Linked DNA regions of Tamandua tetradactyla. The protein of the gene in region 1 binds, or shares a complex with, the protein of each later gene. Links are inferred from orthologs where the notes say so. Each region holds a gene or a part of one and is shown on either strand. Other genes may lie near its edges.

Region 1 (7,332 bases):
TCTTGGAGACTGCTCAAGCATCCCTTCCTTAGGACACAGGCACATCCTTCACCTCCCCAGTTCAGTCGTTTAGTTCCTTTGTCCTCCCGTAATAACCTGTGTCGCCAACATAGCACATTCTATATCAGGTGTTTGTAATCTTTTTTATACCACAGTGAAACCTAAAAGACCCCTACCCAGAACAATCTTCTAAACGTATAAAATAAAAACAAAGGGGTGGGCCGCGGTGGCTCAGCGGGCAAAGTGCTTGCCTGCTATGCCGGAGGACCTCGGTTCGATTCCCGGCCCCAGCCCATGTAACAAAAACGGAGAAACAGAATACAATAAAACAAGAAAATGTTTAAAAATGTTTCCCTTTCTTCCTTCCTTCCTTCCTTCTATCCTTCCTTCCTTCTCTCTGTCTTTCCTTTAAAAAAAAAAAAAAATAAAAAAATAAAAAAAAAAAAATAAAAACAAAGAAAACTACTATATTGAAATACAGTTGTCAACTTAAAAAATGTATAACAGATATCCCCTTTTTAGTTTAAGGTATATTAGAAGGGCTAGAGAGACGTGCCTGAAACTGCAGCGCTGTGTTCCAGTAGTCATGTTTCTTGAAGATTAATGTATAATGATACAGCTTTTGCCATGTGACTATGTGATTGTGAAAACCTTGTGTCTGATGTTCTTTTTATGTATGGTATGGACAGATGAGTAAAAAATATAGATTAAAAATAAATAAATAATAGGGGGAACAAATGTTAACATAAATTGAGTAGATTGAAATACCAGTGATCAATGAAAGGGAGTGGTAAGGAGTATAAAAAAAAGGGGGGAACAAAGGTTAAAATACATTGGGGAGATGGAAATACTAGTGATCAATGAGAGGGAGGGATAAGAGGTATGGTACGTAAGGGTTTTTGCTTTTGCTTTTCTATTTCTTTCTTTGGAGTGATGCAAAAGTTCTAAAAAATGATCATGGTGATGAATATACTACTATGTGATGATATTGTGAGCCACTGACCGTACACCATGTATGGAATGTTTGTATGTTAAGAATGTTGGTGTCTGCACGTTGTTTTGTTTTGTCAATAAAAATTTTTAAAATGTACATTAACTAAAGTACTTCTTTATTAATGTAATAATAAACAAGATCTAGCCTAAGTTCAATAACTACCATTGAAGTAACAGTGAGCAATATTGAGAAATATCTGCAGCAACTATATTATGATGTAAAAGTAATCTGTGACCTCTACTGGTGACAATCGTAGGCTAACAGCCTAATACTATTATGGTTTGTTACCTTCATTCATAATTGAAGGAATTACTACTTTTTAGCTAGAGGTTATGTAATATTTTCTTATCCAAATTCACATACACCTGAATTCCATTTTCAGACTCTCAAGTTAAAAACACCTGTTCAAGACTATATTGTAATTGTTCCCTTTTGTCCCTGTTTTCCTTAAAGACTGAAGTTTTTATTATCTTATCCATTTCTGGATTTTTAGGACCTAGAACATGACCAAAATTTTAAAAATGTAAACATGAATTGTTCCTTTTTCTGACTGACTAAAGCATCTCAACAGTACAGTATAGCTTATTCAACTCTCATTTTCCATTTTTTTGGTTATCAAAGTCAGCAATCCGTACTTAAAAGTAGGAAATTACACTTGTGAATAATACATCTAAATCTACCCCAATATCTGGTTGTGTGGGAACATCACCCTACCTATCATAACTTAGTTTCTCAATCTAAAAAAGGAGATAGTAACTTAAAGTTCTCCTAACTAAAATGATATCCATCTATCTACTGACATTTAAAAATATTAATAAAAATCATTTGGGATAGCACATTTAATTTTCTGTCTTACATGAGATATTGCAGACAGTGTCACTTTTCTAAATCACATTTAAGAACTGTGTTGATCATTTCAGAAACGTACAGATCTGAAAGCCGTCTATTCTTATTATAAATCAAGTAGGCACTTTATTGTGATAATCAAGATTACAGATAAAAAAACTGTTTGCGATTTCTATGAAATTAAATGGGCAGAATGTTAACACTAACACTTACTTTTAGTAGGAATTCCATTACAGTAACGATCACAACAGTATTGTCTAATTTATATTTTCCCTAAAGAAAAGTAGGCGCTCGACTGCAACCTAATTATCTAAATCGTAGCTATTTAAAAAATAATTAAATGAGAAGCTGTATTAGAGGTTGTATTGGGTGACTTAGTGTACTACGGGTCTAGAACTGTTCTAGGTGCTGAGATACAATTATGAACAAAACAGACCAAGAACCAAGATCCTTGCTCCCCAGCAACTTACATTCCAGCTGGGTGTGGGGGAAGGTGGAGACAAAGAGTAAACAACTGATATATCCAATGTGTTTTGATAAGCGCTCTGGCAAAACACCGAGAGCAGGGTAAGGGAGATCTGGAATGGCCCGGGCAGGAAGAAGGAGTGAGAGAGAATACAACTCTAAATAGGATGTGATCATTATTTTGCTCTTAAGACTCGTACTGCACAAAGCGCAATGGCTACAGTAGAGACAGAGTACGAACCTGCTCTCTAAAAGCGCACATACTAAGACGGGAGGCGGGCACTCAACAACTCACAATTCACTGTAGAAGCACGCGTGTGTCTCGCGACGGGGCCACAGAAGACCCTAAGGCACCGAATAAGGGCAGGGCCTATGCGGGTTTCCCCGAGGATCCCACAGCTAGGTTGCGCGACCCCGCCCCTCCTCCTCTGGGCTCGCTGGGCAAAAAGGACACAAAGACCCAAGCGCAGAGTCCCCGCCCGTGAGCATCCCACACCTGAAGTTGGACCAGACGAAGCTCAGGGCGAGCTGGAAGTTGGGGTCCGCCTCATCCTGCAGACCAGTCATATGCCGGACGAGCTCCAGCACGTCCACCTCCTGTTGTCTGTCCAGCCAGCTCCACGGCGGAACGGCTCGAGCCATTGCCCCTGCTATCCCTCACTACCCGCGCATTCGCACACCAGCAATGCAAGTTCTCGGTGAGTTACGACTGCTCTCGCGAGAGTTAGCTCAGCCGCGGCATTGGGTCTCGGCGACGTTTGGTTGCTATCGCAAGAGTTCGCGCTTCGGTCGTGTGACGACTAGGGCGTCAGTGCGCATGTCTTCTGGACAATGCTGCCGGTATTGTTTTTGTGAGATGTTGGTGTTGTGTCTCCCACTTGCACTTAGTAAAGTTGAGTGTGTTAAAGAAGATACTGCAGAGAAGAAAACCGACAAGGAAACAAAACAATACAAAGATAAAGAAGATACTGCATTATTTGAGGTACAGACCGTTTGTGTGACCTGCATGAAGCTCCATTCCTACGCTGAGCTCCAGAAAGCTCGCTGCCGACGCCGCTTCCTGGGAGGTTCTCTCACACCTCTAAGGCACAGTATTGTTGCCGAAGGATTTTCTCCTCATCGAACTTAAAAGATATATATCATACAACCTTCGTGTTTAAGACAAAATGTAGCATATTTATATAGACAAGAAACAACTTTTGGAGAAGAGTAACTAACATTTTCTCTTGCTCTGCAATCCCCGTAGACCCAGGAAAGCGCCTCACATATCGCTTGGTTGTCAAAAGAGACAAGAACACCGAAGTGCGTACAGCAGGACCAAGAGAAGTGTATAATTTCGAGGTTGAAAGGAAAACACAGAGTCTTAATCCTCCGCCTGCCATTTAATGGGGGTGTGGCCTCAGGCTAGTCGCTTCTCCCTCAACCTCAGTTTTCTCAAAAGAGGGTTCTGGTGGGGCAGAGAAGGGTTATTCCTATTTAATAGAGTTAGTGCGCATACAGCATTTAGAGCCAGGCACTTGGCAAGTCCTCCAAGAGTTAATTGTTACTATTAAGAGATATGTAATGGTCTCTGGCTAATTTTGGTTGATGGTTTAACTTCTGATAATTTTGATCATAATTCAGTAATATCTTTTATTTTTTTGGGTGGTGGAGGGTAAGGGGAGCATGGGCCTAGAGTAGAACCCTGGACTCCCGTGTGACAGGGAGCAGGGGCTTGGGCCTACGAGGACCACTAGCAGAAACTGAGAACAGATGGTTTTTAAAATGGGGGGAAAATATGTATCTTGAAAGCTATTTAAAAACATACTCATAATGAGAGAAAAAGAAAGATCAGTTGACTAGATAGCAGCAAAGAAAGAAATCACCAGACACATTAAAATACAAGAAGAAATGCCCCAGTCAAAAGAATAAATCTGAAAGAGGAGATATAGAATCTGGAATAGCTAATCAAAGATGTTCAAACAAATTTCCTGAAAAAACTCAAATAAATGAATGGGAATATGCATGAAGAGATAAAAGATACTAAGAAGAAACTAGGAGAGCATAAAGAAGAATTTGGAAGAATATATAGAAAAATAACAGGCATTATAGAAATAAATGACACTAGATGATGTTTAAAATATACTAGGCACACACAACAGTAGGTTTGAAGACGCAGAAGAGTATCAGGTGAGAGCATTCTAGCATTGAGCCACCCATGCACCCCTTAGTATATCTTTATACCCTTATTTTCAGGTACCATGACTCTGGTTAGTTGTATATCCTTCTCCAAGGTTCAGTTTCGTATAGAAAAATGAAGAAATTGAACATAATGACCTTTTAAGTTTTCCTGTCACACAGGCCAAGTGATGACACCTCACTGCTCCAAGGTCATTTTGAAAGATGCCTCCTGCTCTCAGTTGCTTATAACGGAAAATGGCTGAAGAAGGAATTTATAACTATCTGGCCAAGGTTGGAGAACTGCCTTTGTTATTTGTAATAAAAACTGCCTTTATTTCTGTTAACTATTGCTTGTAGCAAACCATTTAAAAACTTACTGCATATGTCTCTTTAAAAATTTTTTCTTTTAGAAATTTTATGGGTTTTCATGTGGCTTGTTGCATTGCATTTCTATAGTATTAGATAGTGATATACCACCAATAACATTGCACAAGATTACCTTAAGGAGGAGGAAAATTATTCTGTATAAGAGAACTTATACGCTTTCCCTGGGCAATCTCTTTATTCTAGTTTCAACTCTCATCTGTATGCTTATAACTCTCAAATCTGTCCATACAGCTCTCATTTTTATTGACACCCAAATCAATAATTGGTGTCTGTACATCACCAAAAAATCGGTATATATAAACACACACATGCACTTTGGTTCAAGGCCAAAAATTAAGGTCTTGTATTATTTAGGGTTCTCTAGAGAAACAGAATCAACAGGAAATACTCGCAAATATAAAATTTATAAAAGTGTCTCACATCATCGTGGAAACGCAGAGTCCAAAATCTGCAGGGCAGGCTGTGAAGCCAACAATTCCAATGGAGCGTCTGGACTAACTCCACAGGAGAGGCTCACCAGCCGAGACAGGAAGAGCCTGCCTGTCTCTTCTGAATCCTCCTTAAAAGGCTTCCAGTGATCAGATTAAGCATTACTCATTGCAGAAGACACTCCTCTTTGGCTGATTACAAATGTAATCAGCTGTGGATGTAGCTGACATGATCATGATTTAATTCTATGAAATGTCCTCATCGCAACAGACATTGCCCAACCAGACAAACAGATACTACCACTTGACCAAGTTGACACATGAACGTAACTGTGACAGGCCTTATGTTATGTGTGGCTTGTTATGTATAACTGGGAGGACTTTGAATGGCCTAAAGTTCACCTTCCTGTTGTACTTCCATGGGTGCCCTTGCCAAAACAACCTCATTATCACCAGGACCAGGCACAGTACCTCTTATCTTTGAATAGCAGGCTCCAGTCTCCTGGTAGCCCATGGGGGGTTATTTATTTATTTATTCAAATAAACCAACACATCCTCTTGTGGGTACCTCCTTTTTTTTACTACAATGCCTGACCCCCATGGCCTCTGCTTGTTCACTTTGTTCTCAGGTGAAATCCTGGTGAGACCTTACATGGCACAAGATCCTTCTCCTCAAAGCTGCAAATATGTATGACTAATGAAGTGCTATTGAGTTCATCTGGCTAATGTTGGGTGTTCTGTGTTTGACCATTTCCATTACCCTAGGGCAGGAATCCTTCTATCACCAATGGGGTGAAGAGTGGGAAATCAGAACCACCAGTGTTATAACAGGATGGGTCAGCCATGACTGAGAAAACCTCATCAGCTTTAATGGACCGCTCTTGGGTAACCAACTGGTTCTCTGATATGACAAAGGCTGCTGGGATGGAATTGCCAGTTGCTGGAGTGCTTGCATTTTGGCTTGTGTGGGATTGTGTTGTGTTGGCCAGATGTTGACACCTCTCCCTACCTAAAGTACATTCAACTTCTAGACAAGAATTTTTAATAGGCTATACCCTGGTCTTTTTGTTTGCCAGGGCTGCTACAACAAATACCACCCACTAGTCTGACTTAAACAACAAAAATTTATTACCTTATGATTTTAGAGGATAGCAGTCCAACATCAAGTTATCAGCAGAGCTTGCCTCTTCCCAGAAGTGGGTAATATTCTGATGATGGCAGTCCTCCATCACATAATGATGTCCTTAGTCTCCTCCTGTGGCTTTCTCTGCTTCTGAAGTCCTCAGTTCAGGCTTTTAAGACTGCTAAATTATCAGATTAGGAGATTCCCCACATTGTTGAGGTTATCGCTTTTGTTGATTGTAGATTCAATCAGCCATATTTCATCTTTGAAATACCTTCACTGTAACTATCAGACCAGAGCTTGCTGGACATCCTGTCCTAACCAAGTGGACACATGAAATTAACCGTCACACCTGGCATAACATGACATTGCATTCAGCCTGCATTTAGAAGATTGTCTCTGAGGCTTCTGCCTGTAGGGTGGCAACAACACCACCATAATTAGTTAGTGCTTGAGTCCACTTTTACTAAGTGTTGGGCTAGTGCTCCATGGGCACTGCATCTAGTCTGGTGACCATTACTTGGGGCAGCCCTATGGAGTTGTGATTGGGATAGACCTGGGGATGGCCCGTTGTCAAACAGGAAGGAAGGCCACCACCTTGGGGAGAACTAAGCATACCACCTTGGTTGCTTAACAAGAGTTGTTTTTCAGGCAAAGGAGTGAGTAACCTTTACTCATCTCTTGTGCTGCCAAGGGCACACTCTCCAGATACCATGGGCTACACATCCTTGGTAGCCCAAAGTGTATTGCTGATGGGGAGAAAAGCAGTTGGTACTCCATTGCTCTCCCAGTGCAAAACCCCTAGCTAACATACCTGGGTTTGCTTAGGACATTTTGTCAGTATGCCAAAGGGCTAAACTTATGATCATGGAGCTTGATGGGTTCCATCTAGGCTATAAACAAAATTATTTTACTGAATGTGAACCCTA
Region 2 (7,150 bases), on another chromosome or scaffold:
AGCCTGGGTGGGGCCTCCCTTCCCCAGACAGCCCACCAGCAGGGAGGGCGCTGGTGCAGGGAGGTCCAGGGTGGGGCCACACCAGCTGGTTGATCTGGGAGAAGGACGGGTTCTGGATGTGCAGGCGGTCAGTGGCGATCCGGTTCAGAGCCGTGTTGTCCAGCACCACCTGCGGGGACAGAAGAGGGCCACAGTAACTTTTGAGGAAAAAGGGGACATAGAAAGTTGATATTAGCTTAGACCTAAACTCCAAAATCAGGAATTAGTAGTCTCTGGGGCACCCAAGACACTTTTCTAGTGTCCAGTGTAGTAAACAAATATTTTAGTTTCTCTCTCTGTGTCATGCATTTTACTTGGCCTGGAGGTACAATGGACAGAAAAACAGGCATGGTCTTTCCCCTCACCAGATCTTCAGTCTAGTGAAGGGAAACAGACATTAAATGTAAAACACAAATATTATAGCTACAATCTGAAATATGCTTCAAGGAATCTGACCTTGACTGGATGGTCAGAGATTTCCAGGAGAAAGTGACCCCTGAGCTGAGTATCCGAGCATGAGTAGGCATTAAGCAGGCATAGTGGGGGCAGCTGGGTGGGAGGTTTGCTCTGTTGAGAGTCTTGCTGCCTAAAGGGACTGTAAACAACTTGAGGGTTGGATATGATTTCAGAATTCAGCTCATAAGATTTTGTTCTCTGGAAAGGGGCATGGGCAGGGCAGAGTGTATGTGATCCCCTGGTTTGGAGAGGTTGACCAAAGCCCCAGCTCTGTTCTGTGCTCACCACACAGTCTGCGTTCTGGGTCAGCCTCTTGAGCGTGAGCAGGGAGTTGTAGGGCTGCACCACCACATCGCTCATCTCATCCTGGTTGGGAAACACTGAGTACGTCTGCACCAGCTTCTTGGGGTACCTGAGGGTAGGGGGAGGGGAGGGCGGCACAGTGAATTGGAGGCTCCCCATCACTGCCCATCTCTTTATTCTCTAGGGACAACAGGAGCCATTCCTCTACAAGCATCACCAAATTCTTGGATTGAGGAAGTAAGGGTAGAAATGTATCTTCAGAGCTCAGGAGCCAGAAAGGACAAGCCGCAAGCATTGAACCTGCCATCCCCTGAGTCATTGCTTCCAAGATGCTGCTTGGGTGGCCAGGCTCTGTCCTTATGACTCAAAAGAGGTAGTGGCATACCTTCCAGTTCAATAGAAGAGGTGACAAAAAGGAAGGACATCACCTAGGGAACCAGGGCTAATGCCCTCTCCCGAAACATGGGCTCACCTGTCATTCAGGCGCTCCAGGAGGTAAGAGCCCAGGCCTGAACCTGTCCCCCCGGCGATGGAGTGACATAGCACAAAACCCTGTATGGGGAGGGGTGGAGAAGCTTCAGGCTTGTCTCATTGCACAACATACCCATGTCTGGAGGCTTCCTGTGTGTCCATCCAGGTTCAGAGCCTTGAGCAGAGGCTGAATGACTCATGCCTAAGGGGCTGATGGCACTCAGATTGTGGCATGTGAGGACAAGCTTGTCCCTTATCTCTCAGTACTCTACATCTGATGCTCAATTGATAGGTTTCAAATTGCCTCATCACACCAACTGTTCAGGCCACCTCCTGACTTTTCCCCAGCACTCTCCAGGTTTTTCCTTCAGCAGGGGAGAGCCTCACCTCTAGGCTGTCACTTCCATCTGCTTCTCGGTCTATAATGTCAAAGATGTCTTCGTGGATTTTCTCACCCTGAGTAGAAATGTGTGGAGGAAGGATCACGGTGAGAAGGTTCTGGGGAGCATCTCTTTTCAACACCAAAAGCTCTACCCTGGGACATTGCTGCCACCCTCAAGCAGAGCCTCAGATGTGGTCCTCAAACTGCAGCTGCTACTTGGCAAATAATTTGCACACAATTTGCATAAACCTCTTCCCAGTTCTTCCTCTAGTCAGAGTATCCCCCTTTGTCTTTCATTTATTGTTACTCTGATCCGGTCAAATCCCCAGGCTGCTTAAACCTGCCTTGACCTGGGGTGTCTTCTGGGATGGCCTGTTTAGGCACCTGGGAGAATCCACTGGCCCAGTTGTTGCCTGCTCCTCCACCATGCTCCGACAGGTAGATGTTCTCTGGGTTGTAGAGCTTGGCGTAGGGGGAGTTGAGGATGGAGTGGATCACCCGGGGCTCCAGGTCCAGCAGCACAGCCCGCGGGATGTAGTGCTCATCATCTGCCTGAGCAGGGGAGTCCAGGCCGGGACCCAGTCAGCTGGGGCCTAACCAGTGCTCCCACAACCCAACCCTGGCTCCTGCCTGCCCCCCTCTCCTCAAGCCCTGGCCCCTCTGCCAGCCGGTTTCCAGATCCCAGGCCAGTGCCCTTCCCTTCCAAAATCGCTGGGGGCACCTGGTAGAAAAAGACGTCCTTGCGGTCAGTGCCTTCGGTGGCGAACTCCTCCACGATGCCCTCGGGGCTGATACCATGCTCCGCGCACAGCTGTTTCCAAAACTCGAATCCGACTGGGGGGAAGGGTGAAGATGCCTCGGTCTGCTAGAGCCGTAAGAACTAAGAAGCCCAGGGTGGGGGACAGAGACTGTCACACTTGGAGAGGGCGCTCAAGACGCCTGGGTCCGGGACCCCGCACAGCCTGGGGGCCGCTTTTGGTCTGGGGCTCCGTTCATCACGCGCATTAGGGTAGGGATGCATGGAAGGGAAAGGAGGACTGTAGGATGCCAAGCACTTGGGTGGAACCCGAAGGGGCAGAACCGGAGCTGAGGGGACCCTGCACTCGCTCACTCTGGTTGCCGCACTGGCCCAGTTGCAGGGTGATGATCTCCCGGGGCATCACTCTTCAGACGTGGGCGCTCAGCACCCCCGGGCAGGAGTCGTAGCAGAGACGAGTGCTTGACAGCGGGGTGCGCAGGACGTGGGAAGCACACTCTCCTGGTCTCTTGACGCGGGTGTTCGGTCTGCGCGTGTGCAGTAGGGGCCTCCCCTCGGCCGGCCTGCCGGGGAGCCAGACCTGAGCATCATTTTCTCCCACAGCAATTACAGCTGGAATTCGGCACAGGCGCAGACTGAGGCCACGCCCTTCCCCCTTGCCCCCTCCCGCTCCCCGCTCCGCGCCTGCGCATTGAGAGGCAGCGGGGGCGGGGGGGGCGGGGACCCGCAGGGTCGCGACCGGAATCTGGGGGAGGGGAGAGGCTGGGCCGCCGTCGCGTACTAGCCAGACGCTCCAGATGTGTGGAGCTAGCTGTAGGGGGGTAGATGTGCGGCTCTGCGGAATCTGCTAGGGAGAGGAGCTGGGTCCAAACAAACTCTCTTCTTTTAAATTTAATTTTACGAAAACTTGCAAACATACAAGTACGATATTGTATTTTTATGTTTAAAATGTTTTGTAATTGTATTTAATGCCACTGAATTACACACTTTAAAATTATTATTCTGGCAACTTTTATATTATGTATATCTTATTTTATATATGTATTTTAAAATTTTTATATAAATGATGACAGTGTAATATCCTTTTGCAACCTCCTTTTTTTTTACCCTATCACCATACATTGGGTTTTTGTGATTTAGCCATATTGACACTTGTAGATTTATTTCATTCCCTTTAATTGTTGTGTAGTATTTCGTTGGGTGAATAAAACCAGTTTATTCTATTTCCAAATAGAAGGGCTTAGATTGCTTCCATTTATTCCCTATTAGAGGAAGCACAGGACTTGTCCATTTATGAGCATGAGGGAAAATGCTGCTAGAAGGGGCTTGTGCAGTTTCAAATTTACTAGGTTTTGCATATTTTCTCCAAGATGGTCATATTAATTTACTCTCTTCCAGCAATAGAATTCCCATCTCTACACTTGGGCTATCAGATGTTAATTTTTCATAATTCTATGGATGCTGAATGAGATCTCATTGTTGTAATTTCCAGTTATTGTCACTAGTGAAGTTGCTGTTCTTTTCTTTTTTCTTTTAAACTTTTTAAAAAATACTTTCAAATTTAGAGTTACAAAAATAATACGAACTCCACACTGAGAACTTCAACATATCCCTATTCCCTCACATACCTAGACCTACTAGTTTTAACATTTTGTCACATTTGCCATATCATTCTGTCTACCTATCAATCTATCAATTCATCCATCTGTTTGCCTCTCTAACAATTCATTTTCTGAATACTTCAGTATAGGTTGTATACATCATGCTCCTAGAATACTTAATACAGTCAAAAACATTTCTTAAAAACAAGGATATTCCATTTTATGTGTCCACCTCAAGTACAATTATCAAGTCCAAGAAATTTAACATTGATGTAAAGTTTACAGTTTATATTCATGTTTTCATATGTCCCAATAATGTCCTTTTGAGCCTTCTCTCCTCCTCTATTAGATCCTGTCCAGGATCATGTATTGCTTTAATTGCTATTGTTTCATTTTTCTTTTGTTACTGGCTTTTCAGGATTCTTCCTCTGTGAAATGCTTGTTTGTATCTTTTGCCCATTTTTTCTCCTGGGTTGCTTCTCTTTTTCTTATTGATTTGTATGCATTTAAAGATGTTCTAGTAATCTGCCTCGGTTCTATGAGTTGCAAATATTGTCTCTTGGTTGATGGCTTGTCTTTTCACTTTGCATAGAATATCACGAGATTGTTATAGAGATTTAATGTGGGCAAAGTTATCTATCTTTTCCTTTATATTTTGCATGTTTTATTCCTTGTTAAAGAAACCTTTCCCTAACCCAGTATCATAAGTTATTCTTTTATGGTTTTTTTCCCCAAAAGCTTCATACTAGTTTTACTTGTTCCTTGTGGGTCTTCAGTTCGTCTGGAATTTATTTGGAGGCCTGCTGTGAGATAGCATTCTATTTTATCTTTTCCATAGGGATGTCCAATTGTCTCCAAACCAATTGTTAAAGAGCCCATGCAGTCTCCTGCACCCCAAGGAACATTCCAAATCCTCACCGATGTGTTCTGTCTGTCTGTCCCTGTCTGCTGGGCTTTCTTTGCAAGTTGTCTGCAGAGGCACTGGTAAAAGCACTCTTTCTCTCTCTCTTTCAAAAGAACTAGGCCGCCTTCCAGTCCCCACCCTCCTGGAATCCTCAGGCCCACTTCTGTCCCTTCCCCAGCTTTGGTTCAATTTCACTCCCCTCACCCCACCAGGGCCTTCTAGCCAGCTTCCTCCACCTCTCGCCTGTCAGAAAATCTTAGGCATCCCTCAGGGGGACCAGTAGACGTGACCTTTTGGGGAGGGTCTGCTACTTCCTTTGAAGTTTAAAGGTGGAGTCTAAGCAACTCTCTGAGCCTCAGAGACTCTTCCTCCAACTGGATCACTCCCTAAGATCTGGCTGTCTTCAGAGGCTTTGCCAAGACCTTTACAGAGCTCAGCGTCTGCCAAGGGGTGAAGAGGAAGGCTTCAGAGATGAGAGCAAACTTGCCAGGCCTCCCTGCCTTGTGAGTTTTCTAAGGCTCAGTTTGCTTCCTTTAAAATAATAACAAGCTATAAGTAGTTTATGAACTCTTGCAAAACATGAGTTAATTTTTATCTTTTCATGTGATTAATAACGATGCTTTCCACTTCCTGGTCCCCAGAATTGTGAAAAACTCCTTCAAATCCCAGTTTATAGGCAAGCAGGTTAGAACGTGTGAGTTTATCTGAGTTGGAAAAGTTGCTGTGTAATAAGTCATCTCTGATGAGCCGGAGGCTCTTCTCAGTCTGGTAGAAATAGCTTGGAAATGCAGATGCTTATGCACCTTAGAGAGCTGAATGTAAATCCTTCCAGTTCTTAGCAGACTATGGTTTTCCATTTCTGCTGAGAACTGACATCCATATCAGTTAAATGAGATAATACATGAGCACTTAGCATGGTGCCTGACTTATAGTAAGCACTCAACAAATATCAACTGCTGTCATTACCCCTGCGTGCAGCTGGAACTGAAGTACAACTTGGCTACAACTATAGATGAAAGATTTTATTCAAGATAAAAGTAAAGTTGATATTTACTTTAAATACATTAAAAATAAATAAAACGCAATGATTGGTCATATTCAGTTTCAGCTGTAACTTCTACTGAGGTTGAATGAAAGAACCACGTTCATTATCTCCTGGATTTCAAATCTAGGGTCTCAAGGTCATTACCCGTAGTTAAGTATTGAGTTTAATTTTCTTGGCTCCATGTTCTCTGACCCAGATTATGACAATGTAGTGGGATGTGGCGTTCCTTTGTCTGAGGCCTTGCTCTGCATCTGATAATAAATGTAGCATTTGTAAATAACTAAGAAGTTTGCTAAATGTCCAGAGTCTTGATTGGACACTCCATATTGAATAAAAAAAATTTTTTGATACATCTTCATTTCTGGCCTTTCCTGGATGCCTGCATGTACTGTCAAGAGCACAGGTATATTTTGGAGGTTAGAGGTAGAAGGGTGAGGTGGTGGACTGAGGGTGTATCTCAGGGCCTGGGAGAAAGAGCAGTGTGCATTTCATGGAAAAACAGGTAGTTAGAGTCAATTCTAGGCATGAGACTGGGATTCTGTGGCCCCATGGAGTTTAATTTTCAAAGTGAAGGCAAGGGAAAATTAAAACTGTGACGAGAAAGAGCTGAAGCTCTTCATGTAAGGGGAGTTTTGCTAAATTCACATTTTGACTATGAAATAGAATGAAACAGCTGACTTGTTCCGTATGGTTTTTCAAGGAATAGGAAGTAAACCAAAATAAGAAGTAAGCCTGTGTGTGGGCCATTTGTTAATTCTTGTATTGTGCGCCTGTAATGTGTGGGCACCCAGTTATAAGCTGGGGAAATTGAGATCATCTTGGGTTGTTGGGTGAAGGTAGAGCCATTTATTGAGACACAGGGAAATCAGGAGGAATGTGTTTGAACAAGTGGGGTTTTAGGGGACCTGGGGATGTCTAGATGGATTTAGGGGTCCCAGAGGTAACAGAGAGTGCACAGGCCTAGAGCTAAGGTGAGAGATCTGGGTGTACAGCCATCCTTGTCCAGGCAGTGGTTAAAGGCACACAATGAATAGGGTCACAAGAGAGAATGCACGGTGCAGGATGGTCCTAGATTGGAAGAGGACTCAGAATAGAATCTGGTAGAATTCAACAGTTAAGTGGTAGGAAGGAAGATTTCATGGCAAAGGAAAATGAAGGAGCAAGCAGAAAAGAGGGAGAAAAACTAGTGTGT

Evidence for each region. Proteins that work in one complex are often made in the same cells at the same time.
Region 2: TUBGCP5 (region 1) and TUBG2 share a complex: the UniProt entries of both Homo sapiens proteins name them as parts of the gamma-tubulin ring complex. The link is inferred for Tamandua tetradactyla from reciprocal best matches to the Homo sapiens genes TUBGCP5 and TUBG2.

What each region holds. Positions count from the first base shown.
Region 1 is NC_135338.1:74,105,676-74,113,007, reverse strand, and holds the start of TUBGCP5 (gamma-tubulin complex component 5), read right to left. Parts: upstream 3,028-7,332; 5' UTR 2,948-3,027; coding exon 2,802-2,947; intron 1-2,801. UniProt on the Homo sapiens protein: Component of the gamma-tubulin ring complex (gTuRC) which mediates microtubule nucleation.
Region 2 is NC_135332.1:24,574,736-24,581,885, forward strand, and holds the start of TUBG2 (tubulin gamma-2 chain), read right to left. Parts: upstream 3,024-7,150; 5' UTR 2,812-3,023; coding exon 2,763-2,811; intron 2,486-2,762; coding exon 2,373-2,485; intron 2,204-2,372; coding exon 2,036-2,203; intron 1,726-2,035; coding exon 1,657-1,725; intron 1,381-1,656; coding exon 1,271-1,380; intron 908-1,270; coding exon 781-907; intron 170-780; coding exon 83-169; intron 1-82. UniProt on the Homo sapiens protein: Tubulin is the major constituent of microtubules, protein filaments consisting of alpha- and beta-tubulin heterodimers. Gamma-tubulin is a key component of the gamma-tubulin ring complex (gTuRC) which mediates microtubule nucleation.